Linked DNA regions of Canis lupus familiaris. The protein of the gene in region 1 interacts with the protein of each later gene in a pairwise test. Links are inferred from orthologs where the notes say so. Each region holds a gene or a part of one and is shown in the gene's direction. Other genes may lie near its edges. The genes, in order: STAC3, PPARA, FAM133A, MAB21L3, C14H1orf35, L3MBTL2 and ZCCHC10.

Region 1 (3,935 bases):
TGACAAAGCACATTACCCTGGAAATCTCTTGGGTGTGGGTAGCAGTATCTCTAGCCAGGCTCCTCTGAGGCTTGTCTGACCCAGCCTCCAACATAATCCTTTACTTCTTACAGATACAAGGGATAAAGCAGCACTACATGACCACATCCAAATGGCTGTCCTCCGAGATGGGAGTATCTTCTCTTTCAGCCATGTCACAGCCCAGAGTAGGAGAAGGCTGCATCCCTGCGAGATAAGATGCCAGATATCTCATTGACCCATAAGTTCATATACTGGGGCATCAGATGAGGGAGATGGAATCAGGGAATCAAAATGATTTCGAAGTGTGGGGCTCAGCTATCCTATCTCCAAAAGTTTGCAATCCTCATGGGGAAGCAGACGTTACTTACTGAAGATAAAACCCGCCCTGTGTGGTAGCTATGGCCTTCTGTCCAGTCTGAACAAGACCATCTCTACCTACCTGACCATCAGACCCGCAATCCCCCAGAGCCCCTCAGATGGAAGTCCCAGCCTGGATTTTTTCAGTAGTTCTTAGATTTCCCTTCACCCTGAGGACAAGATTTTAGAATGGAGGGAAGATGTTCCTGGGGTACTGGAGGGAATAAAGCAGTACTATGCATGTTCCTCACTACCTTTCAGGACGGAGCAGGGTACCCCTCCCACCACTATTGGATAAGGATGCAGTCTAGTCTGGCTGATAGGAAACCTCTGAGAATTCAAATTCTTTCCTTCCTAAAGGTTTGAAGCTAGATGAGTGCTTGAGGGTGTAAAAACACATGGCCACAAGAAGCCAATGGCTGAAAAATCAAAAGCTAGTTTCTAAAGTAGGTCCAGGGAAGGTAGAATTGGAGATGTATTTGGACCTTGGGGAAAACTGTTTACAATTTCATCTTTATCTTCAGTCATCCAAAATCACCTAAATGAAGTATGCAACATGAACAGACACTGTCCCTTCTTAAATTTAGCCAAAACTGACCTGTACACCATAGATAAAAAAAACCAGGGCATAGCAGCTCTGGGGGATGGGAGGAGTTAGGGTCCAGCCCAGCCCAGGCCTCCCCGTGTCCAATTTCTCTGTGTCAGCTGTGTCGCTCAGCTGTCCACTTTCCTCCAGCCCTGTCATTTCAGCTGTGACACCAAGGCGAGAGACTAGGAGGTCTACAAATAACGTCTGGGTAGCCGGTGTGAGTACAGAGGGTACTGGGGGGGCTTAGCCCCCAAGGAAGAGGACCAGTCCTCCCCCAGCACCACCATCAAGACCCCAGGGGCTCCCTCTTCCCTCCACAGACTGTGGGCTGACTTAGGGAATCCCAAACGTAAGTTGCCTCTTCGTCCTCTGTCCATTGCCAGAACTGCTCCCTGCAGCTTCCCCAATCTGTAGCCTATTCAATGTCTTCGTTTCTCTCTTGCTTGTGAGTAGTTGGGGTTTTAGGAGTGAAATTATTATTCCAGGACAAGAGCTAGGATTGGAGGGTGGGGTGGAGGTGGGGTCAAGGGAATGGAGTAGTAAGGGAAAGAAAGGCTCATATTACTCTGAAAACTTAAAATAGCTGAGGACAGGCAGGCTGGGAACTAGGCCCTGGGCCCCCGGGACTCAAGAAAGGGGTATGGGTGAACAGATGTTCCCAGCCCATCCCTCCAAGCATGCTTCTGGACACATTAAACCTCTTGAAGAAAAGGGATCTGGGAAGGTGTGTGTCACATCCCTCTTGCCCACAAATTCCCAGGAGAAACCAGGAAAATCTCTAAGCCATGCAGCTTTGAACAGTGTTGGGGCTGTCAACTTGGGTTGCCCCTCAGTGGGGAAGGATGGATATCAGGAGCTGGTTGGGAAGTTCTTTAGTCGGCTGTGCTTTTCCCTGGACCTCCATGGAATCTGTCGATAAGCCTATGTAAAAGGATTTCTGTTTAAGCAAATTTCTCCTAAAATCTCCCTTTCAAGAACCACCCTACAGTGAAGGACAGGAAGAACAGCAGTCAGGGATTAGATTTCATAGTGGGGTCCAACCTCTTGCAGGATGACAGAAAAGGAGGTGCTGGAGTCCTCTAAGCCCTCCTTCCCAGCAGAGACTCGGCAAAGTGGGGTGAGTCTGGGCCTGTGACCACTGGGTATGGGGAGCTGGGAAGCCACTGCGGCCCTTCAAGAATGCTTGAATTAATCTCACTTGTATGTGACTGATCCGTTGTCAGAATGCTAGCCAGCACCTGCATCCCCCAATACCTCCTAATCCTGGGGTGTGCCCCTTGCCCACACTGGAAAAATGTGTAGTTAGTAGTCAGCCTTACCTGCTCTGGAGAGCATGACAGATCTTTTAACTTTGGGTTTCCTCCCTTCCCCCATCCCCTTCCACCCTCAGCTACAGCGGCTGAAGCAGTTATTCAGGAAGGAGTCTCCCGGGACAAAGGAGATGGAGCTTCCCCCAGAGCCCCAGGCCAATGGGGAGGCAGTGGGAGCTGGGGGTGGGCCCATCTACTACATCTATGAGGAAGAGGAGGAGGAAGAAGAGGAGGAAGAGCCACCCCCAGAACCTCCTAAGCTTGTCAATGATAAGCCTCACAAATTCAAAGATCATTTCTTCAAGAAGCCCAAGTTCTGTGATGTCTGTGCCCGGATGATTGTGCGTGAGTCACGAAGGGAAGTAGAGAGAGTGTAATGTTGAAGGCAGGAGGTGGGGGAATGGGCTCAGGAGAGGCGCATTTGTATAGCAGGCAGACTGGAGCAAGAGGCAGCTTTAAGAAAACGCTAGCAGAGGGGCACCCGGGTGGCTCAGGGGTGGCTTAGCCATGGCTCAGCCGGCTAAGCTAAGCGTCCAACTCTTGATTTCAGCTCCGATCATGATCTCAGGTCTTGAGGGGGAGAGTCCCTCTCCCTCTGCTCCTCCCTCTCTTGCGTGCGCGCTCTCTCTCTGTCAAATAAAAAAGTAATCTTTAAAAAATCAACACCAGGGATCCCTGGGTGGCGCAGCGGTTTAGCGCCTGCCTTTGGCCCAGGGCGCGATCCTGGAGACCCGGGATCGAATCCCACGTCGGGCTCCCGGTGCATGGAGCCTGCTTCTCCCTCTGCCTATGTCTCTGCCTCTCTCTCTCTCTCTCTGTGACTATCATAAATAAATAAAAAAAAATTAAAAAAAAAAATAAAAAATCAACACCAAAAAAATAAAATAAAAATAAAAATAAAAAATCAACACCATTAGAAAGAGAGTGTGGGACCCCCTGGGTGGCTTAGCAGTTGAGCATCTGTCTGCCTTTGGCTCAGGCATGATCCTGGAGTCTCCAGATTGAGTCCCACAGGGGGCTTACTACATGGAGCCTGCTTTTCCCTCTCCCTCCCCCTCTCCCTCTGTCTCTGTCTCTGCCTCTCTCTCTCTCTCTCTCTCTCTCTGTCTCTCATGAATAAATAAATATTTAAAAAGAAACAAAAAAACCCGAGAATGTGGTCCTAGACCAAAAAGGGACCTGAGAGCTAGAGTAGCAGCACTGGTACAAAAAGGAAGGGGCAATGGAGAACTTGACCCAAATGTTCTTGCTTTTCCCAAGTCAACAACAAATTTGGGCTTCGCTGTAAGAACTGCAAAACTAACATCCACGAGCACTGTCAGTCCTATGTGGAGATGCAGAGATGCTTCGGCAAGATCGTGAGTAGGCTCTGGGGAGCGAGAAGGAAGGGAGGGGACGTGTTGCCAGCTCCCCCCTTGCAGTCCCTCCGTCCCTCCCAAGTCGTCATATCCATTTCCCTGCTTTTTCTTTCTCAGCCCATCTCTTACCCCAAGAAGGGGTTTACTCATGGGAGAGATGGGGTTCTGGGCCATAGCTTGCTGTCTCTAATGCTTTCTCCCATCCCACCCTACAGCCCCCTGGTTTCCACCGGGCCTATAGCTCCCCACTCTACAGCAACCAGCAGTACGCTTGTGTCAAAGATCTCTGTAAGTGCTCCA
Region 2 (3,488 bases), about 19 Mb from region 1:
CTACTGAAATATGGAGTGTATGAGGCCATATTTGCGATGCTGTCTTCTGTGATGAATAAAGACGGGATGCTGGTAGCCTATGGAAATGGCTTTATAACTCGTGAGTTCCTAAAGAGCCTAAGGAAACCGTTCTGTGATATCATGGAACCAAAGTTTGATTTTGCGATGAAGTTCAATGCACTGGAGCTAGATGACAGCGACATCTCCCTTTTTGTGGCTGCTATCATTTGCTGTGGAGGTAAGTCGTTGACGTAACCCAGCGCCGTGTCACCTGCAGCCTCTTGGTGCACACGTGCATCATGCACAGTGGAGCATGCGCTGGCAGATGGGAGGGCGTCTATGCCCCTACATCGCCGCCGATTGGAATTCAGTGAGATTTATATCCTATCATATCACATAACAGCATACATTATTATATATAAACACATAGTTGTGCAGTAAATGAATATGTCCCATTCATAATTATGTTGTATATGTAATATTCTATTTGTAATCATAATATAATCATATCAAACATAATATATTAGGTGTAATGGTAATATAGTTTTATCTAATATATTTAATATATATTAGAAAGAATTATGTTACAATGTACAGTGTATCATGTTACTGTTATATAATTCTATTATTATAGTGTTATATCCGTATTATAGGCAGTATTCTATAAAGGGCCGTACAGATGTTAGTGCAGTTTATTTCACCATTGGTATATTTATTCCATTTCATAATGAAAAATATCAGTAGCTCACTGGCAGTGTTTGCAGTTTGCTTTGCCAAAGGAAATGGATCCCAGTGAAGGAAAATCTGGGCCTCTCTGCAAGGAAGCTGGCTCTGCAGCTCCCAGAATTTTGGCTCAGTGTCATGTTCCTTTAAATAACCCTGTCCTGGTATAAGAAGGTCATCCCTATACCGTAAACTCAGCTGACCTCACCCAGCCCCCAGGGAGGCCAAGGGGGGTGACCACCGACCACTGCCGCAAACTGCCAGAAGCTGTACTGTCCTGCACGGTTTGCTGACTTGCAGGGCTGAGGCTGGCCACAGACGCCCAGACGCTGGAAGCCCCACAAGGCCTGTTCCTGTTACTGTTCAGCTGCCCCCAGTCAGGTGGAGGGAGTCCTTCTGCTCTGGCAAAAAATGTAAAATGCAAAAACAGTTGTACATAATCTACATTGTCCTTTGTATGCTCGAGATGTAGTGCTGTGAGTAAAAAGCAAGCGCACAACCATTTATAGGTAGTACGAGCAGAGTTTTCTAAAAGAAGTTATAATCGCTTATCAATCCCGGGGCGCCCGGTCAGCTCAGTCAGTTAAGCATGTGACTCTTGATTTCAGCTCAGGTCATGATCTCAAGGTCGTGAGATCCAGCCCCACATTGGGCCCTGCACTGAGTGGGGAGTCTCACCGCACATGTTCTCCATTTCTCTCTCTCTCAAAAAAAAAAATCATATATCAATCCTATGTACAGAAAAGTGTCTGGTGTGGTATACCTTAAACCTTACGAGGGGAATTCACTTTGTTTTTTTAATCTCTCCTTTTAAAAAGTTAGTAATTATATTCATTTTACAACCCCAGAAAAAGCAATGAAAAAGTCCACATCCTTAGCAGCACTTTTAACAACCCTAGTAAGGAGTGGGGCCTTAAAGAGAGCACTGCCTATTGGATGGCAGTGGGGACAGGGAATACTCTAGACCAAAGACCCGTGTGCCCAGGACGTGTGCATTCCTCTGTCCCAGGAGGTCTGGTGCCTGCGGTTGAGCTGCCCCAGGGAGGGCGTGTGGTGTACACGTTGAACTGCCTGCACCGGATCTCAGGCATTCCTGGGGCTCGTCAGCACCCCATCGAGGTAGCATCTACCACTCACATCTCACTCCACTGTCTATGCAGCAGATTCATATTGGAAGATTCCTAGCATCTGTTCCCCTAACGAGTGCTTTTTACCACAAAACCCAGTCTAACGCAATCCTTAAAACAGTGGTGGAGAACTTAAAACTGAATATCTAGTTTTGATTCAAGATGTATTTCATTTCATATTATACAAAACTGGTTGTTTTAATCGTCATCAGAATGTCTGATTACTCCTATGTTTTGGGTTTTTTCCCCTAATTGGTGGTCATCAAGGAAATCCAAAATGAAAGGGCCATGGTGTAGGATAGCTGGTCGACTTAAGGGAGTACAAAAATACTTAGGATCGAGTATTTGTCCTGTCTGCGCATTAGGCCCAGTGACTTTGGAAGAATCGAGGTCTGTCTTCCCGCCGAGTCAACGTTATTGGAAGGCAGTGTAAGAGTAAGAATGTTTGGTCTCCCGAACCCATAAACAGTTAGGAGGTGTCCGTGGGAGGTTTATCACAACCGTCTCTTATTTCTTTTGAGAATAGATCGCCCCGGCCTTCTAAACGTGGGACACATTGAAAAAATGCAGGAGGGCATTGTGCATGTGCTCAAACTTCACCTGCAGACCAACCACCCGGACAACATCTTTCTCTTCCCAAAACTCCTTCAAAAAATGGCAGACCTCCGGCAGCTGGTCACCGAGCACGCACAGCTGGTGCAGGTCATCAAAAAGACGGAGTCGGACGCAGCCCTGCACCCCCTGCTGCAGGAAATCTACAGGGACATGTACTGACGGCTTGAGAGCGAACCGCACGACAAGCAGCTCTTCGAGGACTTTTAAAGTCGACAGCACTACAAATGAAAACTGGGAGCAATGCCTGCTTTGCACAAATTCCACCATTTTCACCTTAGAGAATGGGACGGATGAGCCCTAGGTAACCGGAAACCTAGACCACATTTCTTTCTTTTTCACATCAGTACTTGTAAGAGCGTGCCAAGTGTCGAAACGCCGGTGACAGGTAGCTGATAGGCAGTTCTTGGAAAATTAAGGGGAATGATGCCCAGCAGTCTGATTTTAACTCACTTGATGTTAATCCATGCAGATTTCTTTATATCACATTAGCCGTGTAGCCTTGAATTAACTGGTGACCTTGAAATACGTGGTCTGTCTTCTCTTTCTGCCACCTGTTGACTCTTGCGCTCCTTTGTATCGTTTTGGAAACTAATCAGCACTTTTTAACTTTTATAATCCTGTAAATCTAGATGAATCCAAAGGTTAGGTTATTTTTTAAAAGCAGCAAAATATTTATTGGGGAGACTTTAATTCTGTTTCCTGAATTTGAAGAAAGACAACATGCTGTTTCTTTTTTTTTTTTTTTTAACATGCTGTTTCTTAATCAGAGGATTTGAAATTTCCAAGGATTATTTGATAAGCTATCCAAATGCAACAGTCGGTCGGTTTTCACTGTGTTGGGGGTTGTGACTTAATAGGCAGGAGGGCCTGTTTCTAGGTTTGTCTAGAAGATCCCAGAAAACTGAGTCTCAAGACTCCCCCCCCCCCCCCCCCCGGACTTGACGCTCTGCTTGTTTTCTCCAGCTGGTGTCTGTGGTCCCGTGGTCAGCAGGAGCAAGACAAACGGAGACTGTGTCAGCTCTC
Region 3 (3,500 bases), on another chromosome or scaffold:
TGGGAAAAAGACATGAACAGAAATTGCACAGAGGAAGACATAGACATGGCCCAGAAGCACATGAGAAAATGCTCCGTATCACTTGCCATCAGGGAAATACAAATCAAAACCACAATGAGATATACCACCTCACACCAGTGAGAATGGGGAAAATTAACAAGGCAGGAAACCACAAATGTTGGAGAGGATGTGGAGAAGGGGAACCCTCTTGCACTGTTGGTGGGAATGTGAGTTGGTTACAGCCATGCTGGAAAACTTTGTGGAGGTTCCTCAAAGAGTTAAAAATAGAACTGCCCTATGACCCACTAATTGCACTTCTGGGGATTTACCTACCCCAAGTTACAGATGCAGTGAAACGCCAGGACACCTGCATCCCAATGTTTATAGCAAAAATGTCCACAATAGCCAAACTGTGGAAGGAGCCTTGGTGTCCATGTGTCCATCGAAAGATGAATGGGTAAAGAAGATGTGTGTGTGTATATATATATATATATATATATATATATATACACACACACACACACACACACACACACAATGGAATATTACTCAGCCTTTAGGAACAACAAATACCCACCATTTGCTTCGATGTGGATGGAACTGGAGAGTATTATGCTGAGTGAAGTGAGTCAGTCGGAGAAAGACAAACATTATATGGTCTCATTCATTTGGGAAATATAAAAGTTAGTGAAAGGGAATAAAGGGAAAGGAGAGAAAACGAGTGAAAATATCAGTGAGGGTGACAAAACATGAGAGACAGCTAACTCTGAAATGAACAAGGGGTAGTGGAAGAGCAGGTGCGTTGGGGGTTTTGGTGACTGGGTGATGGACACTGAGGGCAGCACTTCACAGGATGAGCACTTGGCGGGATGAGATTATGCTATCTGCTGGCAAATTGAACTCCAATAAAAAATTTAAAAAAAATAAAATAAAATCCTGTGCAGACATCACCATCTCTAGGAAGCTGCCCTGAATCCTCCTTTCTCTCAGAGCCATACACCCATCTATCCATTCATTTGTTTGTTACTACTGAACCAATACTTATTGACTATTTAATATGAGCCGCAGGGCATGCTAGATACTAGAAACACCATGGTGAATAAGACAGATTAAACATGACCTTTATTTTTCTCAGCCTTGTCATTAGTAATGGATACACACACACACACACACACACACACACACACACAATCAAATAAAATAATCACCAGTTTTCTAAGTGATGTGAATAAAAGACACAAGGCTCTGTGATACAGAATAATATATATGAAGGGTAGATTCAAAGGCAACATACTTTAATATAAGGTGGATACATATGAAGTTGCTGGTATATGACTGTGTCTGTCCATATAATTGGCAATTTTATGTAGTCTAAACTAATAGTTTCCTTTCAGAGGAATTGACCATTAAGCTAAGACCTGGGCACCTGGGTGGCTCAGTTGGTTAAGTATCCAACTCTTAATTTTAGTTAAGTCATGATCTCAGTGTTGGGACCTCAAACCCCACGTTGGACTCTGCTGGCATGGAGCCTGCTTAAGATTCTCCCTCTCTCTCTTCCTCTGACCTTCCCCCCTTTCTAATAATAAATATATAAATAAAAATAAATATATAAATAAATTGAGACCTGAAGTATGGGGTAGCACTAGACATGATGACTAAGCTTGGAGCTTCTCATATTCCATAAACCAAGGAAATATATGAGAACATAGAATTGAGAAAAGGAGTGATTAAAGTAAGAGAGAGAAGCAGGACAGATCTTATAGGACTTTTATAGGAGTTTGAATTTGATTTTCATTAAAATATAAGGCCACTGTAGTGTTTTAAGACCTACTGATGGTAGTGTGGGGCTGGAATGAAAGAGAGTAAGGGTAGAAACAAGGTTATCATTAGAAATGACAAATACCCGCCATTTGCTTCAATGTGGATGGAACTGGAGGGTATTATGCTAAGTGAAATAAGTCAATCGGAGAAGGAGAAACATTATATGTTCTCATTCGTTTGGGGAATATAAATAATAGTGAAAGGGAATAGAAGGGAAGGGAGAAGAAATGGGTAGGAAATATCAGAAAGGGAGACAGAACATAAAGACTCCTAACTCTGGGAAACGACCTAGGGGTGGTGGAAGGGGAGGAGGGCGGGGAGTGGGGGTGAGTCGGTGATGGGCACTGAGAGGGGGCACTTGACGGGATGAGCACTGGGTGTTATTCTGTATGTTGGCAAATTGAACACCAATAAAAAGTAAATTTATTATTAATAAAAAAAATTTTAAAAAAGAAGGTTATCAATTAAGAGGCTGATGTAAAGAGATAATAGAGTGTTATGTTAGGTGTTCAGGGCTTGGAGTCCGGCTGCTTTGGTTTAAATCCTAATTTGGACATTTATTAACTGCTACTTTATGCAAATTAGTCAAATTCTCTAAGACCAGTTTATTCAACTGTGAAATAGAAATAATAATAGAATCAACCTCATAGGATTAGTCTAGAGATTGAATAAGATAATCCACTGCAAAACACTAAGCAGTCCCTGGCAGATAATAACATTTAATCAATACTAGAGATTAATAATCCAAGTGAGAGATGATAGTACCTGGACTAAATTGATGACAATATATTTGGAGAGAAGTGAATGTGTATGGAACCTATTGTGAAGTCTTAAAAAGCAGTTATACTAATGGATTAGATGTGAGATTGAGGGAGAGAATTTTTCAGGTATGATTCCTAGGTTTCTGTCAGAGCGGACTTTTTTAAATTGGAGGAGATCTGCCTCACATAGAATTTAGCTATAGAAATTTATCTTTTTATACTGTATAAGGCCAAATGAAGGAAAGAAAAATATCATATAATATAAAAGGAAGTATTTATTTAAAATTTAGATAAGTCAGAACCTTATATGGGGTATATAAAATCCATTGTTATATTCATACCACAATATCTAAAGTATGCAAAAGTCTTAAATGTCTATATTCTTTGTTCCCAAGGTCTAAAATTTTAAAAATTTCTACTGTACTATATGATAGTGAACAATTAAACCAATGTCTTTGCTGTATATATATTAAAGGTGTTTTATAACCATTTCCTTCTGCTTCCCTAACAGAATGGGGCCTGCTTGATATATCAGCAGGTGAAGAACCAAAGAAGGGTTTATCTTTATTCTTCTTAGCATTGAGAGTCTTCTCTTGGAACCAGTAGGCACAATGGGGAAGCGGGATAATCGAGTGGCCTATATGAATCCTATAGCAATGGCCAGATGGAGGGGCCCAACTCAGTCTACAGGCCCAACAATACAAGATTATCTGAATCGGCCAAGGCCTACCTGGGAAGAAGTGAAGAAACAATTAGAAAATAAAAAGAAAGGCTCCAAGGCATTAGCTGAATTTGAAGAAAAAATGAATGAGAATTGGAAAAAAGAATTAGAAAAAAGCAGAGAGAAATTATTGAGTGGAAATGAGAGGTCTTCTAAGAAAAGGGGAAAAAAGAAAAAGAAAAAGAAGAAATCTTGTC
Region 4 (3,954 bases), on another chromosome or scaffold:
TCTCCAAATATCTTATATTTGAGAATATCATTTCATCTATAATGCAATCAAATTTTCACCACTATTGAACGTCAATTATGTGTTAGGTACTGGACCATAGTGGGGATACAGAACAGATAGAGTCACCGCCTTCTTCACTGCTGGGGGCTTCCTCAGAGCATGGACAATTGTCTCTATCTGGTCCTCGGAGCTGTCAGCTTTGAGTCACCGTAGGATTAAAGGAAGTTTTTGAAAAATACATCAGAGTTTGTAATCTTGGTGAACTGTAACAAATTTGTGTATTTAAGATTGATTTGGATCAAGCCAACCCTTCTTGGAATGAAAATTGCAGCCATTAGGTAAATCAATAGCAAACACTTCTGTTGGTAAATCAGGAGTGACATTGTCTTCCTAGGACTTTCCTATTGTTGGTTTAGGGTTTTGAATACCTTGCTAAACTGACTTTAAAAAATAACTCCTTGGTCCTCAGAATAGAAATTGAGCCAAAGCTGGTTTGCATGTTCATACTTGCATTTGGCATGAGTCATGAGAAATGAGGATATTTATTTCCCAAGAAAGGAGGAGAATCTGAGTTAACTTTGAATCTTTCTCTGTGGCCCAGCATAGTGCCTTAGGCAGACTGTTGCTCAATAAATATTTGCTAATCCAAAAGCCACTTAGCCAGAGATCTCTATCTACAAAGAAGGGTCCTCTTTGCCAATCTGTCAGAGGGTCTGCACTGTTGAACTGCCCTATATATTGGAAGCTTTGCCATGGAAAACTCTATCAGAGAGTAAGGAACAGGTTGTGCTTATATAACCCCTTGTTTGCCAGGTATGACGTCCAGGTAAAATGAGGCTGGAACACAGACTTCTTCCTTCTCCCAGGCTCTACAGTTGGCCTACTGGTTGTTCTCCTGGTTCACATCTGGGAAGCATCACTGAGCCCTAGTGAGAGAAATGCAGTTTCAACATTCTGATTTGTGGCCACGCTGGAGCAAGTAGGGCAGCCACAGGTAGAGAACGATGCAAATTTGTGCATCTGGTTGATAGGCATCTGGGGAAAAATTAGAACCGTAAGAGAGGCCCACCAGAGGACAGGGGATCCCAAGTTAATGATTGTAATGAAGCAGAAGTAAAGACAAAAACAAGAGCTCATGGGAGAAACCAGGAGGACTTTGATGAAGCCGAAAAGAAGGTGGAGAGGAAATCCTGAGTTGTCGGAAATTCAGAGAGGCAGCCTCATGTTCTGTTTGTGAAAAACTGACGAGTGGTTAGGTCAAGAGAAGATTCTGAAATGTTTGGGAGCATCTGATATCAAATGAAGGAAACTCTGAATTACAAAGAGAAGAAAATGGAAAATCAAGGCAGTTTTGTGGAAGGGTAGCTTTACAATATTTACATAGAATATTTCAATATACGACAATATTGCACAAAAGGGACCTATAGAAGCTGGCGTGAACGCTGGGATTAATGAGGTGGGTGGAGCAGGGAGCTCTGGTGTGGCTCAGATGAGGCTTTTAGTCCGGGCAGAGCGGGGAGATATGCAAATACTGTGGTTACAGAGAGCTGAGTGGCCCGGGGAACCAACACCGTTGCTGAGCTCTCAGAGGTGGGTTTGGAAAGGCATTTACTCAGAGCATTGCCCAGAAGTGAGCTGGGCTCCCAGAAGCGCTGTAATTTCTTTAGATCATCTGATAGCAGTCTCTGATGTTTACCAGCGTCAGGGAGATCAGGCCATTGTGAATTTTTTTTTTTTTTTTTTTTTTTTTTTTTTCTGTAATAAAACTAGCCCCAGCCAGCCAGACTGGGAATTTACTGCCTGAGCTGTTTTCCAACATGGTTTTGCTGGCAAAACCAGACAAGAGTGTTTCCTTGACTCTCAAGGGGCCTGTTTACACTGACTTTATTTTTACTGCCAGCTTTCAAGCAGGAAGAGGTAAATTATGTTTAAAGTTCAGCAGGTGAGGAGAAGGGTCCCTGGTCCTGCCCTTTCTGGATATGCCTGTGTGTGTGTGCATGTGTGTGTGTGTGTGTGCGCGCTTTTCCACATGCAAATTATTGTGCCCTGATTTGGTTGATGAGACCTGGACCTGCTTGTTTTCAGGCAGAATGACGAGTGCCTGACTGGTTGTTTGGCAGTTCCCTATTTGTTTATGGTAAAGAAGGTAAATCAATCTGCGGGATTTTCTGGATTGGAGGGCAAGGAATATTTACTGTCAACAGGATAAGAACAAGGAGATATAAGATACTGGGCTCCAGGATGCATCTAGCATTAAGACAAGAGCTTAAAAAGGTGGAGAAGAAGCCAACTACAGAGCGTTTCTATCTCAAATGGAGCTTTTAAATATTTGAATGGGAAATACAACTTGGAATATTGCCCTTCGGTCAAAGCACCCGACAATAGAGCTTAATCGAGTCCTATTAGGTTGGACTCCAATTCAGTTTCAATTCCATCAACTCTCCTTTTTAAATTCCTTTTTTAAAAAAAAATTTCCTGAAAGATGACAGTTGGATGCTCCCGATTTGGAAATGAGAGCTGGAGGGAAGAATTGGAAAGACCAGTCTCTGGTCCATGTATACATCCTCAAAGAAATTTAGCACCGAGACTAACGTTCTTGGGAAACCAACCTGCAAGTACTGTCCTCCACTGACGGACAAACCAAGACGTTGCTGCTCCACTGGGGACTGACCAAGAAGTCATGAAATCCCCAACTGCAGGAGACTTGGAAGAATGCCTCCTGAATAAGGTAAGGACAAGTACTGCTCTCCCACGTTCCCACCTGGCTCCCTCCCACTCCACCAGCCTGGATTCAGAAGGGATGTCAGGCTGCTTCCAAAGATACATGAAATGCTCCTCAGGAACCCAAGACCATCACTCATAAGAGTATTTAGGGACTTATCTTATTTTCGTCTTCTCTCTAAGGTTCTAAGTGCCAGAGGCACGTTGGGTATAGAAAGTTAAACGGGAACAGAAAGTTAGAACGTGGGTTGGAACTCTGGCTCTGCCCCTGATACTGGGTATTGTCACGAACAAGGCACTTAACCTGCCAGAGCTTCAGCTTTCTTCTCTGTAAAATGGGGGTGATAATAGGGCCTTAGAAAAAGAGTAAATGGGATTAAGAATGCCTTTCAGAAACTCTAAAACTGCTCGATTTAAAAATAGATATCATATTTATCACATCAATTAACAGTTAACTGAATTTCTTCTGTAGAGAGGCAGAGACTCTTGGAACGTTACAACTTGAAGGCCCCTTAAATATGATCTCACTTAATTAAGGCTTTCCATTTACTGATGAAGCTATTAAGGCCCAGAGCCACCTGTAAAACTAAAAACTAAGGTTAGGGATTTGTCTAAGTTTTAGGGACACGCCTTCCCAAGTAAACAAAGTAGAGTTCATTATCACAGTGATAAATAAAGTTGATTTCTTAAGCAAACCACTTAGATAAATAGGGGACACTTACAATAATAAAAATTATAGCCAACAAAGTGACGTCCCGTATTTTCCCTTTTGGGGGCTATTCTAAAGGAATAAAGGGAGGCTGCCAGGCATTTTCCCCATGGACTTGTGTTTTCTGAAAGAAAAAAGTCCACGTTTTTCAGTCTGGCATCCAAGTAATACTTTATCTTTCCATGATGTTTCCCTGCATCTCCAATAGCAGAGATTCTTAACAGTGCTCTACACATTGAACCAGCCTGTGCACAGGTTTTCTTTGGCCTGCAGAATATTTTTAAATTGCTTCAAATTTGTTACAAACATTTCAAAATAGTGGGATCTTGCATAGAAATCTAGAGTTTCATCTTCTGGAAAAAGGGAAACATCAGAATACCTGACAGCCACAGGTCCCAGTTTCTTGCCTGGCAACTGTGGGCTGGGGCTGTTTGTTCAACAGAGAGTGTGCTCACGGGTTCTCTGGGAGCCACAGCACTCCTGGGTTTGACATCCACCCCCTTCCACTCTCCCTCTCATGTGTG
Region 5 (4,001 bases), on another chromosome or scaffold:
AACCTGTGGTCGGCTGCCATTCTTCTGCTCCAGTGGTGGGTTTCAGCCTGGCCAGGCTTCTGCAAGACCAAAAGGCCAAGTCCCAACATTTCCACTTGTCGCTGGCCTGGCCCAGGCCTGCCTCTTGCCCTGGCCTGGGCTGTCAGGACTCTTGGAAACCTGAGTGAGTGCCCACCGTAGGGCACTGATACAAAAGGTGGGGAAGGTGCCCACGTTCTATGGGAGGGGGCTGTGTCTGGGCTCCTGGCGAAGGGTGCTGCATTAAGCACCCACCTTTGGACTCCTAAGTCCCTGGTGGTCCACTGAGTTTCCTGGCCACGCGCAGGGTCCTGGGAACATCCAACGGCATTGTCTGCCCTTCCCTTGAAGTGGGGTCACAGCAACGATGCAGGGGTCAACAGCAGAGCAGAGGGTGAGCGGGGCAGGGACAAGTGGGACTTGTAGCCACAAGGCAGGGTGGGTGCTGGTGACGGAAATCACTAAGAGGGCCCCCCCCCGCCCCAGGCAGGGGGTTCTGGCAGAAACCACCTACTGAGATTGCTGCTGGTGGGCCTGGCAAGACCTCCACTAACGCACGGGCACCTGCTTAGCTTCTGAAGGGGGCCGGAGGTGGCAGGCTCTTCACCACAGCGGGTGACACGGTGAAGTGGACGGAAGGCCCAGGCCCGTCTGCAGCGCTCTGGTCAGTGGAGGTCCCATCTGCACCAGGTGTTCCTGTGTGTGGGCCCCCGACCCCCGCTCCGCAGGACCTCGCCGCCGCCCACGTGGGGGGCTTCACACACTGTCCATGCCGCTGCTCCCCCGTGTCCAGGGCTCGGAGCTGATCCTGCTTTGCCCAGCACAGCCGCCCCCCGCGGCGCCAGAGGAGCCCGTGCATTGGCGCACCTGCGCCGTCCCGCCTGCCCTCCACGCTGGGGTCTCCAGGGGACGGCCCCGGGAGTTGCAGGCCGTGTCCCGCTTCTCCGGAGCCGAGCCGCCCCCGGTGCCCGCTCCCGGCACTGCGGCCCCACCCGCTCGCCCATCTCCCGGCACAGCCCCAGGACCGTCGCCCGCACAATGTGGCTCCCAACGCCGGCAGGATCCTCGGGACCCGCCTTGGCGCCTACGCCCGCTCCCTTCCCGGGCGGTGCGCCTAGCGCTGGGGGCAGGCGGGGCGGCGGGGCCGGGGAGCAATGCGCAGGCGCTTGCGGCGCTGCCCGGGTATGCGCGAGTGTGACGTCAAGGCGCGCGACGCGGCGGCGGGACCCCGGCGCCGGCGCCGCCCGGGGCGGCCAGGCCAGGGTTGACGGAGGCAGGGGCGGCGGGCGGCCTGGCACCATGTTCGGCTCCAGCCGGGGCGGCGTGCGTGGCGGGCAGGACCAGTTCAGCTGGGAGGACGTGAAGACCGACAAACAGAGAGAGAACTACCTGGGTCAGTGCGGCGCCGGGCCCGGGGGCGGGGGGGGCGGGGGCGGGGGGGCGGGGGAGGACGCCCGAGCTGCCGTGCGCGGTGCCGCAGGTGCGGGAAAGCGGGGTTGCGAGGTTCTCGGTGTGGGCAGCCGGGGGCGCGGGGGCGGGGAAGGAGAGGGCGCGAGGTGCGGGAAAGGGGGGCTGCGGGCGTGGGAAGGCGGGGAGCGGCGACCAGCGGGCCGAGCAGTCGCGCTGCGTCCCCGCAGGCAACTCGCTGATGGCCCCCGTGGGCCGCTGGCAGAAGGGCCGAGACCTCACTTGGTACGCCAAGGGCCGGGCGGACGGCGCGGGACTGAGCCGGGAGGAGGAGCTGGCGGCCGTGCGGCAGGCGGAGCAGGAGGCACTCATGGCGGCGCTGTGAGTGGGCCCCGCGGGGTCGGGGGAGCTCGGGGGGCCCGGGGGCGAGGCGGGGTCCGAGGGGCAAGGCCAGGGACTCCGGCCGCCGCCTGAAGCTCGCCCGCGGCCCCCACAGAGGCTACAAGAACGTGAGGAAGCAGCCCACTGGCCTGAGCAAGGAGGTGAGCGGCGCACGGGGGGCGGGGCGCCCGGAGTCTGTGCGAACCCCCGCCTGAGACCCGCTGGCTCCGCACAGGACTTTGTGGAGGTCTGCAAGCGAGAAGGAGGGGAGCATGAGGAGAAGGGAGTGGACCGGCTGCTGGGCCTAGGGAGCTCCAGGTGCGTGGCTGGGGGGTGGAAGGGGCCCTCCCCAGGTGGACGCACCGCCCCGCCGAGGGAGGCCTGGGCCTTCTCACCGTGGGGTCCTCGCCTGCCTTCCCGCAGCGGCTCTGCAGGCCGAGTGGCACTGTCCCGGGAAGACAAGGAGGCCGCCAAGCTGGGGCTGTCGGTGTTCACGGTAAACCCCCCTCTGCGGGCGGGGCACCCCAGAATCGGGCGGGCGCCGAAACTGGGACGCCCCCCCACAGCCCCCTAGAGTGCCTTCCTTCCTTGCTCCTTCCCTCCCCAGCACCACCGCGTGGAGAGCAGCCGCCCAGGGGCCTCCCCCACCTCTGCTAGGAAGAAGCCTCGGTTTGAGGAGGAGAAGGTGCAGCCTGGGTAAGGGCTGCTCCCACCCCTTGGTCCCAGGCCCACCTGCTGGGCTCCCCCAAGGGGGAGGCAAGGTGCACTCCCACCCCTGCTTTTCCTCCCTGGATGGGGAAGCAGGGCGCCTTCCTACCTCTGCTGCTCCTGGCAGTTTCCTGCCACAACGGGAAGGAAGGACCGCTGTACCCACTGGCCACAGGGAGGGGGGGGTGTGTCTGTGTGGACAGTGCACAGGGGACGCCACCCCACGTCCCTGCAGCCTGGAGAGCCACAGGAAGAGCAGGAAAGAGAAGAAGAAGAAGAAGAAGAGGAAGAAGAAGCACAAGAAAGAGAAGAAGAAAGACAAGGCACACAGGAGCAGGGTGGCTTCTCCACTGTCTCCAGCTCCTGCAAGGTAGGTGTGCTCAGCCTTGCCGGGGCAGAGGGAAGGTCTGGGGAGCAGGGCAGCCTCCCCCTGACCACATGTCCCCATATCCCCAGGCCGGGGCACCACCAGTGCGGCTCTGACTCTGAAGATTCCTTGCCCTGCTCCAAGAGGCGACGCAGCCACCACAGTGACTGAGGCCAGATCACAAGGGGCCCCCATGTCCAGCAGGGGACCTGCCCCGGGAGGACACACTTGCCTGGGAAGGCCCCGAGACACTTCTATTTTTCTTCAACTCACTTTGTACTTAAATAAACTTATTTTAAGGGGAAAGCCTCTCATCCTTGAGGGAAGGTGGCTGTCATGTCCCAGTAAAGTTCCAGCAAGACCAGCCTGAGACCCTGCTGGTAGGGCGGGGAGGGGGGGGGGGGGCGGGCTCTCCCTGGGTTACCATGTCCAACCCCAGGGCACAGACGTGCACCTGGAGCCAGCAGTGTGCCCCACCCCTGGGAGGTGAGCACCTAGTCATTAAACCCTCCTATTACAGCCTGCCTGCAGGGAGGATGAAACCCAGGGTGCACTCATGATTGTGAAACTGGCATCTTTGGCTTTAAGTCATCAAACTAAAAACGATTCTGTCTTCATAACCCTGGCCCTGGTGTTTCAACCTGGTAGTGGTATAAACAATCTTGGGCGGGGGCCAGACTGGGCGCCCCCAGCCAGGAGAAGGAACCAGACCAGCATGCCCAGTCAGGTGGGAGGGATGGTCTCCAGCCAAAGAGCCACTAGGAGCCCTGCCAGGGGTTTCCTACCCCTCAGGAGCAGGCTGGCTAGCAGGGATGGGCGTGGACAAGAGCAGGCCTCGGGCACACCCAGTGTGGTGACCCTGCTGTCCCTCCACGTCCCAGTCCCACAGAATAGACCAGGGGCTGCACTAACAGTCAGCGGGTGGACGATGAGAGGGCGCTGGGTCATATGCACACCTAACACAGGGAGCAGTGAGCCACACCATGTAGGTCCCTAGCCAGTGACATCCTCTGTGCACAGTGGTAAGTGTGGGTCAGTGGCACCCAAGCACTGGAAAGCCATGAAATAGTTAAGAGATTTTATTCTAGTAGCTATAATTACAGTGCTTGTTTGTCGAAAT
Region 6 (4,055 bases), about 23 Mb from region 1:
AGCAGCTGGTTGAAGAGAAAACTGGGGCCAGGTCATTCAGGGGCTTATGGAATGTTTGAATTTTTTTGAAAGTGCAGGGGGAAGCTAATGGAGGTTTTAAGCAAGGGGATGAACATGATCTGGCTTATGATTTAAAAGATCACCTGTATTAAAGAAAGTGAAAAGTCAAACAGGGACCTGTTTGAGGCCTATTGTGCTGGACTGGTGGCTTCCATGAGGGTGATAGTGGAGGAGGAATTCAGGATACATTTTGGCTGTAGAACCAACAATACTGGTTGATAGCATGAATATGGGGTTGGTGGCAGAAGGAGTTAAAGAAAAGAAAAATCAAAGACTTTCACATCTATGTGGTGGACCTCAAATTTAGAAATATTTTTAACATATATTCAGCCTCCATTTATTACATTTAGATTCTTTTTTTTTCTTTTGTCTATTTTTTTTCAGTTTATTTTTTAAAAATCTCTACACTCAGTGGAGCTCCAACCAATGATCCTAAGATCAAGTGCCTCAAGATCCTCTGACTGCGCCAGTCAGGCGCCCCTACATTTAGATTCTTTTTTTTTTTTTTTTTTTTTTTTTTTTACATTTAGATTCCTAATTCATTAGAGCACCGCATAGCACAGGGAAAGAACCTGGACTAAACCTTAAATTCCAATTCTTAGGTTCCAATTCCAACCTTAAATCCCAATTCCAAAGAGCCACAGATTCATCTTTAATAGGGTGATGGGCTGTCTCCAGATTTGAGCTGTTGTGTAAAAAGCTCCACCAGAGCACCTAGAACTGAGTGTTCAAGGAGGTTGTGAGACATCCAAAATGAGGGAGGCAGAGTGCCTCATACTCGAGGTTTTATTCAGGGGATGATGATGGAGGGACAATGTTACAGGATTTGGAGCATGTGAGGCATTTATAGCACTGGGCATAAGAGCAATCCGCTTTCTGCCGGAATTGGAAATGCGTTTCTTTGCAAGTCGTCCTGGCCCAAGGGCACCTTAAAATTCTTCTAATCTGTCATTCCTGGTGCCTAGAACAGCACCTATCGTACGTGCTCAAGAATTGTTTGCTAAAGAACGGAGTAGGGCTGAGAGGTGGAGGTTAGCGCAGAGAAACGAGGTCTGCCGCAGTGCCGCAGGGATTTTCACATCGCTATAGCAACGCACCCTTCCACGCGCACCCACAGGGGAACTACAAGTCCCACAAGTACCCGCGGCTTCCCCGCCCCCCCCGGGGCTGGGGCGCGGGCGAGCGCGGAACCGGCTTTTCCTTTTTCCTGCAACGTGATTGGCCCGCGGCTCTGGGAGGCGGCCAATGACTGCGCTCAGGAAGAGCCGCGAGGCCAATATGGCTTCCTGCACCTGGTGACGGTTGAAGAAACGGGTGTTAGGTCTCATGGAGAAGACGCGGGGCGTCGAGGTGAGAGGGGGAGGATTTATCGTGACCGGGAAAGGGAAGCCCTTGAGCCTCGCACGGGGGGCCGTTCTCGAGGCCTTGGGGCGACGCCTGGAGGGTGGAGAGTGGAAGGATGGATAAACTGAGGTAGTTAGGCTGAGCAGGGCCAGAGGCGATTGGCGTTGCCTTTTGCGCCCACACCGCTGGGGCCGACGTCCCGCGAGTAGGTCGGGGCGGAACAGCCTCCCTGGCCTGCGGGAACGGGAACTGGGTTCAGGATCTGGGAGCTCCTGGATCTTCTTTGTCCTCCCTCTCTCTGGTCGTTTCTTTGGGGATCAGGAGGCCTGTGACATCCTGGTGGGACGTGAGGGAGATTCAAGTTTCCTGCCACTGCGTGTCTGGAGCGTTCACGGGCATTATCGCCCGGGATACTCACAACAATCCTGTGTCACTGTTTCGTTGTTATGGTTGGAGTAGCCGACGCTTACAGCCAGATGGTGCCCCCCAGGAGGGCCACCCAACCGCAGCGGGAAGGAGATGGGCACCCAGTCGTTCAGGCTCCCCAGCCTTTCCCACTCTCCTGCAACCTGTAACCCACTCACCCCTGGGTCACTTGGCTTCTGGTCACCTTGTATTTAAATTCGGTCTCTTCTTTAGCACATTTGGGGACGTAGTTGTAAACCTGAAAATGGAATAGCCCCCAAACTGTAAAGGGTAAAGGAGAATAAGCACTCACGCGTTTACAGCCCTCCCTAATGGCTAGAAACAACTAGGCTTTACACATCTCAGTCTTCATTCGAGTTATCTGAAGAAGGCCTGCTGTTACCTCTCTTGTACTGATGAAGAAACTGAAGAAACAGGCTCAGTATGTTGCACAAAATCACAATTGAGTGGTAGAGCCAGGATTCAGGCAAATCTGGTTGAAAAGCCCCATGCTTTTACCCAGAAATAATTGCCAGTATGTCTTGAATACTTGCAAGGCACTGTTTTGAGTACAACACTTATATTCACTCTTATTTCTCCCGCAAAGCTTCTGAAGGAGGTAGTTTCCTCATTTACAGAGGTGGGAACTGATGCACCAAGAGACTGACTTGCTGCAGATCATACAGCTGGTCAGCGGTAGAGATGGTATTTGAGCCCTGGCCTAGGACCTTTTCTACTACATTCCTTCCAGGTGGATTGATAGACAGTATCTCATTTACATTTCACATCCTGTGAGCTACTTATTTCACAGATCAAAAAGTTGAGGCCCAGAGGAGTTAAATGACTTGCCCAAAGACCCACAGCTAGTTAGGATTGGAGCAGAGTCCAGAGCTATGGTACATACATACACTGTGCGATAACTAGTGTGTCCTCTGTCTCCTAGATCCTCCTCAGGGTAGGATCCGCGTCCCAAATTGACTTTTCTGTGGCTGAAATGGTTTCCGAATTGACACTGTGTTGATGTACATATGCTGAAGGGGGGAAGTTGATTTTCTAACATACATCTTCCCCCAGAAAGTCTTCATGAGATAACAGAGTATTTTCACATCATCGTATTCTATTTGAATCAAGTTAAAACATCATCATTTATAAATACACAGGAGGAGCTTGGTGAATTCCTGATATTACCTGTTTTGTTAAACTATCCTGATGAGTTTCAGTTAAGAACTATATAAACAGGAGTAATGATCCTGGTGTTTGCAAAAGGGATATTTGATTCTGCCTGCCACTTGGTCCAAAGGTGTTGACCAAGACCTGGAAAAGATGCTGGTAGCTGACCTGCATCCTTCTTCCCCATACACTAAGCTAGACCTGATTCCTCCAGCCTGGTTTGTGTCATCCTTCCACTAGGAGACTCCATCTTCAGAACCTATGGAAGAGGAAGAGGAAGAGGAGGACGACTTGGAGCTCTTTGGTGGCTATGACAGTTTCCGGAGCTATAACAGCAGTGCGGGCAGTGAGAGCAGCTCCTATCTAGAGGAGTCAAGTGAAGCAGAAAATGAAGATCGGGAAGCAGGGGAGCTGCCCACCTCCCCGCTGCATTTGCTCAGTCCTGGGACTCCCCGCTCCTTGGATGGCAGTGGTTCTGAGCCAGGTGCTTTCAGAGTGTCCCCTGAAGACGGGGAGGTTTCAGGAGGCTATAGAGGAAGAGGGGAATATAGGCCATGTGGGCAGAGCCATCCAGGTGTAAAAAAAGCTGTTTGATCTTAAGTCTAAGGGCCTATGAACTAGACAGAAGTAGCCCCAAGGGACTACTACTAATTTCCTTTGCTGCAGTCTGATTTCAAATGACTATTTCCTTTGTTCTTTCATACGACTAATACTTATTTGGCACACGTTAGATGCCAGTCATTAATATGGTACTGCTTTTACATTTGTGTGAATAGGTGCTTGATTTTTAAGCCTGGATGGCTTTTGTTTTGTTTTCTTTTTTATTTATTCATGAAAGACAGAGGCAGAGAGAGAAGCAGGCTCCATGCAGGGAGCCCAACATGGGACTCGATCCCGGGTCTCCAGAATCACACCCCGGCCTGCAGGCGGCGCTAAACCGCTGTGCCACCAGGGCTGCCCTTAAGCCTATGCTCTGATTTACTATCTGGGAAAGGACAAGAAATAGTTTGTGGGTTGGACGTGAGGGGGGAAATTAAAGAAGGGTGGAAATTAAAGAATCAAGTGACTTCCTGGGG
Region 7 (3,500 bases), on another chromosome or scaffold:
GGGTCATCAACATTCATATATAATTTTTCCAAAAATAAATTTATGTTAGTACTTTCCTGCTCATCCTCCTTTTCTACTTCCCTTTTCTTCATGTATAAAAATTTAGACATTTTTGAAATACTGGTGTTTGTACTAAGAAAGTAGATAGCTCTAATTATTGGGAATAAATTCTTTTGTAATTTTTTTCCCAGCAAAATTGAAGAAAGACCTAATTGAGCTACCAATTTAAAAGTATTTTTTAGGGGTGACTGGGTGGCTCAGTCAATTAAGCATCCAGCTCTTGATTTTGGCTCAGGTCATGATCTCAAGATCATGAGATCAAGCCCTGCATTGGGCTCCATAAAAGGTATAGGGCCTGCTTAAGATTCTCTCTCTCCCTCTCCCTCTCACCCTCCCCCCCAATAATAAATAATAAATAAAAGTATTTTTTTAAGATATTATTTATTTACTTTATCATGAGAGACCCAGAAAGAAAAGCAGAGACATAGGCAGATGGAGAAGCAGGCTCCATGCAGGGAACCTGATGTGGGAGTCGATCCCGGGACTCCAGGATCATGCCCTGGGCCCGAAGGTAGGCGCTAAACCTCTGAGCCACCCAGGGATCCCCAATAAAACTATTTTTTAATGATTCATCTTTGTGACTTGTGGACCACATCATCGGAGATATTCAAACAGTGACATCACTACAACAATACTCTATTTCCATCTATCTATTTAGGGTAAGAAGGTTTCTTAGGGTTAAATCTATAAATGTTAAATACAGGAATTGAATTAATGCTGAACATTGTCACAATCTAGCAGTAAGATCCAGAGATACATGAGCTAGAAAAACAATCGATGCATTTCAAATAAATTTACTTTGATGTGTGATAATTATTAAAATGTGTAATGTATTCCTATATTATTTTAATCAATTACATAGTAATATTAGTAATGGCAACTCAATTCAGAATTTTATTTTTTAGAAAGGGAGTAAGAGAGGGGCAGAGGGAGAGGGAGAGGCAGGTTATAACAAGAATTACTGGGCTCCGTACATGCCACAAAAGACAGAGTGTTTCTCCAGTGAAAGACAGTTTGGGGGATAGCTGAAGGGTTTATATGAACTGTGTATAATCACTTTATTAACAGGAGCTTCCCCCTCTCTCCCTTCATGTTTATCAGCATCGGAGAAACTAATGTAGAAAGGAAGACCAAGAAAAAAAGGTATGTGTGGCTTTAGGAGTATTATGTGGATAATAAATAATACTAGTGAGAGGAATGGGAAGAATGCTTTAAAAATAATTGTGATAAAGTTTGGATCTGAAGTCTCTTGTTTGTCATTCCTGATTAAGTATCATCCTTATTTCATGATCTGTTCCTCTCTTTACCCAACTGGACCTTTCTGCCTTCACTTTTTTTTCTCCAGCTTTCCAGAGGCTTTCTCCCTGGAAATAGTAAATAATTTCTCTTAAAAATCTCCTATATTAGAATAGGAAATATTATTAGACTGGTAAGAAATTGTTGACCAGCTATATCTGATTCAAAGTAAAGATGTTGAAACACCATGCTACCTGAGGTTTAAGAAAGCCCAGTTGTTCCACTGCAACTTTATTCTAACATTATTCTTCCTGGATCATAGTACAGTAGGAGTACTTATCTTGAATTCTGTCCAAGATAGTTAAAGTGCCAAAGTAAAGGACATTGTGGTTGCCACGGGATTTCTACAGTTATGCAATCCCCAGCGCTTCGGGTCTAGTGATTCCATGCTAGCAGAGCTTCAGTGTATGTAATCGCTTCCCCATGAAATTGCTCTCCAACAATCTGTTAGGTGTCAGCTTCCTGTGCGTGTAACTCCTCACTGTCTACTAGGTCTAAGAGTGTAACCAGTTCCAGCAGCAGTAGCAGCGACAGTTCAGCCAGTGATTCTTCATCAGAGAGTGAAGAAACGTCTACCTCATCCTCCTCAGAGGACAGCGACACTGATGAAAGCTCCTCCAGTTCCTCATCTTCATCCTCCTCCACAAGCTCTTCCTCGTCCTCTGATTCAGACTCAGATTCCAGCTCTTCCAGTAGCAGCAGCACCAGCACAGAGAGCAGCTCTGAGGATGAACCACCAAAGAAGAAGAAAAAGAAATAGAACGCCATCTCTCTTGTACTGCTGGACTCAAAAAATTAATGTGACTTTCGAAAGGGGTATTTAGACTACATTAAGGCCATATAGGGTAACCAGTCAAAATTACTGGAGTTCAAAAATTTCTAAATGTTTTACATCAGAAGAGCATAAAGAGTATTAATGGATTATATATAAGACTTTTTTTATTTTAAGAGTAAATCTTGTTTTTCTTTTTTATTTTTAATATATATCTCTAAAACTTAATCAAAGCTGAATCCAGTAAATCTGTTTTGGGGATGAGACTTATCTTTTCTCCCTGTGAGATAATTGCCATCCTTTGTTATATGTTAGTGCTATGTACCAGACATATTTTCAGGATAATGCATCAGAATATCTGGCAGTGAATTTCTTTTTTTTTTTTTTTTTGGCAGTGAATTTCTAATGCTTTTGGCTGTGTGTTATTATATAAGATTTAATACATTGTTACTATAAAATTAGAAGTGTTCCTCTTAAAAATTGTGCCCTATTTTTATGTTTATGTTCAGAAAGTTATTCTGACTTCTTGTCCTAAATGAAAAGCTCAAGGAACCTGTTATTATATTTATACCTTTTGGATGGTACAAATGTCAAGTTATTGTGTTATATCATCCATTTTCTTCTGGCTCTTAGAGTTACTCTTTTTTTTTTTTTTTTTTTTTTTTTAAGTTCGTGCTGGGCTCGAACTCACAACCCTGTGATCAAGACTTGAGCTGAGATCAAGAGTCAAATGCTTAACTGAATGAGCCACCCAGGTATCCTGTAAAGTTACTCTTTTTCTGAGGAAAATCAATCAGAAGAACCTAAAAAGGAACCAAAATTCTGAAACTACTTAGGAGTCTAATCTTGGTGCCTTTTGATAAATTCTGTGTATTAGAAAAGAGTCATTTAAAAGCCTAACTTAAGGAAAAGTGATACAAGTATCTTTGTGTTGTTATGCTATAAAAGGTAGGAGAGGAAAAAATAGGTACAAAGGTAATTTTAACAGAGAATTAGGGCAATGTTGGTTGCCTTTTATTAAGTTTTTCTAAGCTTTCATAAGGATTGCCTTTTACCATTTTTGCAATTGTGGTATAAGTTTATATGGCAGCTGGTCATATATGACATTCTACTGCATAAATATGAATGACTTGGACTAATCTGGTGTGTTTACATAGCATATACACAGTTGAAGTGTAGCATGAAAGATTAAAAAGAAATATTGCACAATGTTTCTTAAAATACTCTGCTGTGGTGAAATTATTTTGTTTCGCATGACATCATTCTGTGATGTCTTTTAAGCTCTTTGGAAAGAGTTATCATTTGTAGAAAAATCTTGATTCGGGCTAAATATGGGTTTTTAAAACTATGAATGTTGTCTTTTTTATATTTT

The links.
Region 2: the proteins of STAC3 (region 1) and PPARA interact in a two-hybrid assay, tested with the Homo sapiens proteins (2 studies listed by BioGRID). The two-hybrid records come from large-scale screens. The link is inferred for Canis lupus familiaris from reciprocal best matches to the Homo sapiens genes STAC3 and PPARA.
Region 3: the proteins of STAC3 (region 1) and FAM133A interact in binary tests that used the Homo sapiens proteins (3 or more experiments, as listed by UniProt). The two-hybrid records come from large-scale screens. The link is inferred for Canis lupus familiaris from reciprocal best matches to the Homo sapiens genes STAC3 and FAM133A.
Region 4: the proteins of STAC3 (region 1) and MAB21L3 interact in binary tests that used the Homo sapiens proteins (3 or more experiments, as listed by UniProt). The two-hybrid records come from large-scale screens. The link is inferred for Canis lupus familiaris from reciprocal best matches to the Homo sapiens genes STAC3 and MAB21L3.
Region 5: the proteins of STAC3 (region 1) and C14H1orf35 interact in binary tests that used the Homo sapiens proteins (3 or more experiments, as listed by UniProt). The two-hybrid records come from large-scale screens. The link is inferred for Canis lupus familiaris from reciprocal best matches to the Homo sapiens genes STAC3 and C1orf35.
Region 6: the proteins of STAC3 (region 1) and L3MBTL2 interact in binary tests that used the Homo sapiens proteins (3 or more experiments, as listed by UniProt). The two-hybrid records come from large-scale screens. The link is inferred for Canis lupus familiaris from reciprocal best matches to the Homo sapiens genes STAC3 and L3MBTL2.
Region 7: the proteins of STAC3 (region 1) and ZCCHC10 interact in binary tests that used the Homo sapiens proteins (3 or more experiments, as listed by UniProt). The two-hybrid records come from large-scale screens. The link is inferred for Canis lupus familiaris from reciprocal best matches to the Homo sapiens genes STAC3 and ZCCHC10.

The regions. Positions count from the first base shown.
Region 1 is NC_049231.1:1,728,874-1,732,808, reverse strand, and holds the start of STAC3 (SH3 and cysteine-rich domain-containing protein 3), read left to right. Parts: upstream 1-1,135; 5' UTR 1,136-1,316; intron 1,317-1,942; exon of another isoform or gene 1,943-2,017; 5' UTR 2,018-2,018; coding exon 2,019-2,084; intron 2,085-2,357; coding exon 2,358-2,622; intron 2,623-3,537; coding exon 3,538-3,635; intron 3,636-3,850; coding exon 3,851-3,923; intron 3,924-3,935. Other genes in the region: R3HDM2 (R3H domain-containing protein 2), read left to right, coding at 114-236. UniProt on the Homo sapiens protein: Required for normal excitation-contraction coupling in skeletal muscle and for normal muscle contraction in response to membrane depolarization. Required for normal Ca(2+) release from the sarcplasmic reticulum, which ultimately leads to muscle contraction.
Region 2 is NC_049231.1:20,888,656-20,892,143, reverse strand, and holds the end of PPARA (peroxisome proliferator-activated receptor alpha), read left to right. Parts: coding exon 1-238; intron 239-2,376; coding exon 2,377-2,624; 3' UTR 2,625-2,988; downstream 2,989-3,488. UniProt on the Homo sapiens protein: Ligand-activated transcription factor. Key regulator of lipid metabolism. Activated by the endogenous ligand 1-palmitoyl-2-oleoyl-sn-glycerol-3-phosphocholine (16:0/18:1-GPC). Activated by oleylethanolamide, a naturally occurring lipid that regulates satiety.
Region 3 is NC_049260.1:69,566,840-69,570,339, forward strand, and holds part of FAM133A (protein FAM133A), read left to right. Parts: intron 1-3,093; 5' UTR 3,094-3,193; coding exon 3,194-3,500.
Region 4 is NC_049238.1:54,109,715-54,113,668, forward strand, and holds the start of MAB21L3 (protein mab-21-like 3), read left to right. Parts: upstream 1-1,154; 5' UTR 1,155-1,942; exon of another isoform or gene 1,943-2,482; 5' UTR 2,483-2,680; coding exon 2,681-2,728; intron 2,729-3,954.
Region 5 is NC_049235.1:508,279-512,279, forward strand, and holds C14H1orf35 (multiple myeloma tumor-associated protein 2), read left to right. Parts: upstream 1-1,223; 5' UTR 1,224-1,317; coding exon 1,318-1,411; intron 1,412-1,655; coding exon 1,656-1,806; intron 1,807-1,921; coding exon 1,922-1,967; intron 1,968-2,041; coding exon 2,042-2,124; intron 2,125-2,229; coding exon of another isoform or gene 2,230-2,302; intron 2,303-2,413; coding exon 2,414-2,502; intron 2,503-2,749; coding exon 2,750-2,884; intron 2,885-2,970; coding exon 2,971-3,251; 3' UTR 3,252-3,501; downstream 3,502-4,001.
Region 6 is NC_049231.1:24,975,246-24,979,300, reverse strand, and holds the start of L3MBTL2 (lethal(3)malignant brain tumor-like protein 2), read left to right. Parts: upstream 1-1,255; 5' UTR 1,256-1,386; coding exon 1,387-1,410; intron 1,411-3,219; coding exon 3,220-3,463; intron 3,464-4,055. UniProt on the Homo sapiens protein: Putative Polycomb group (PcG) protein. PcG proteins maintain the transcriptionally repressive state of genes, probably via a modification of chromatin, rendering it heritably changed in its expressibility.
Region 7 is NC_049232.1:21,261,205-21,264,704, reverse strand, and holds part of ZCCHC10 (zinc finger CCHC domain-containing protein 10), read left to right. Parts: intron 1-1,128; coding exon 1,129-1,203; intron 1,204-1,848; coding exon 1,849-2,116; 3' UTR 2,117-3,500.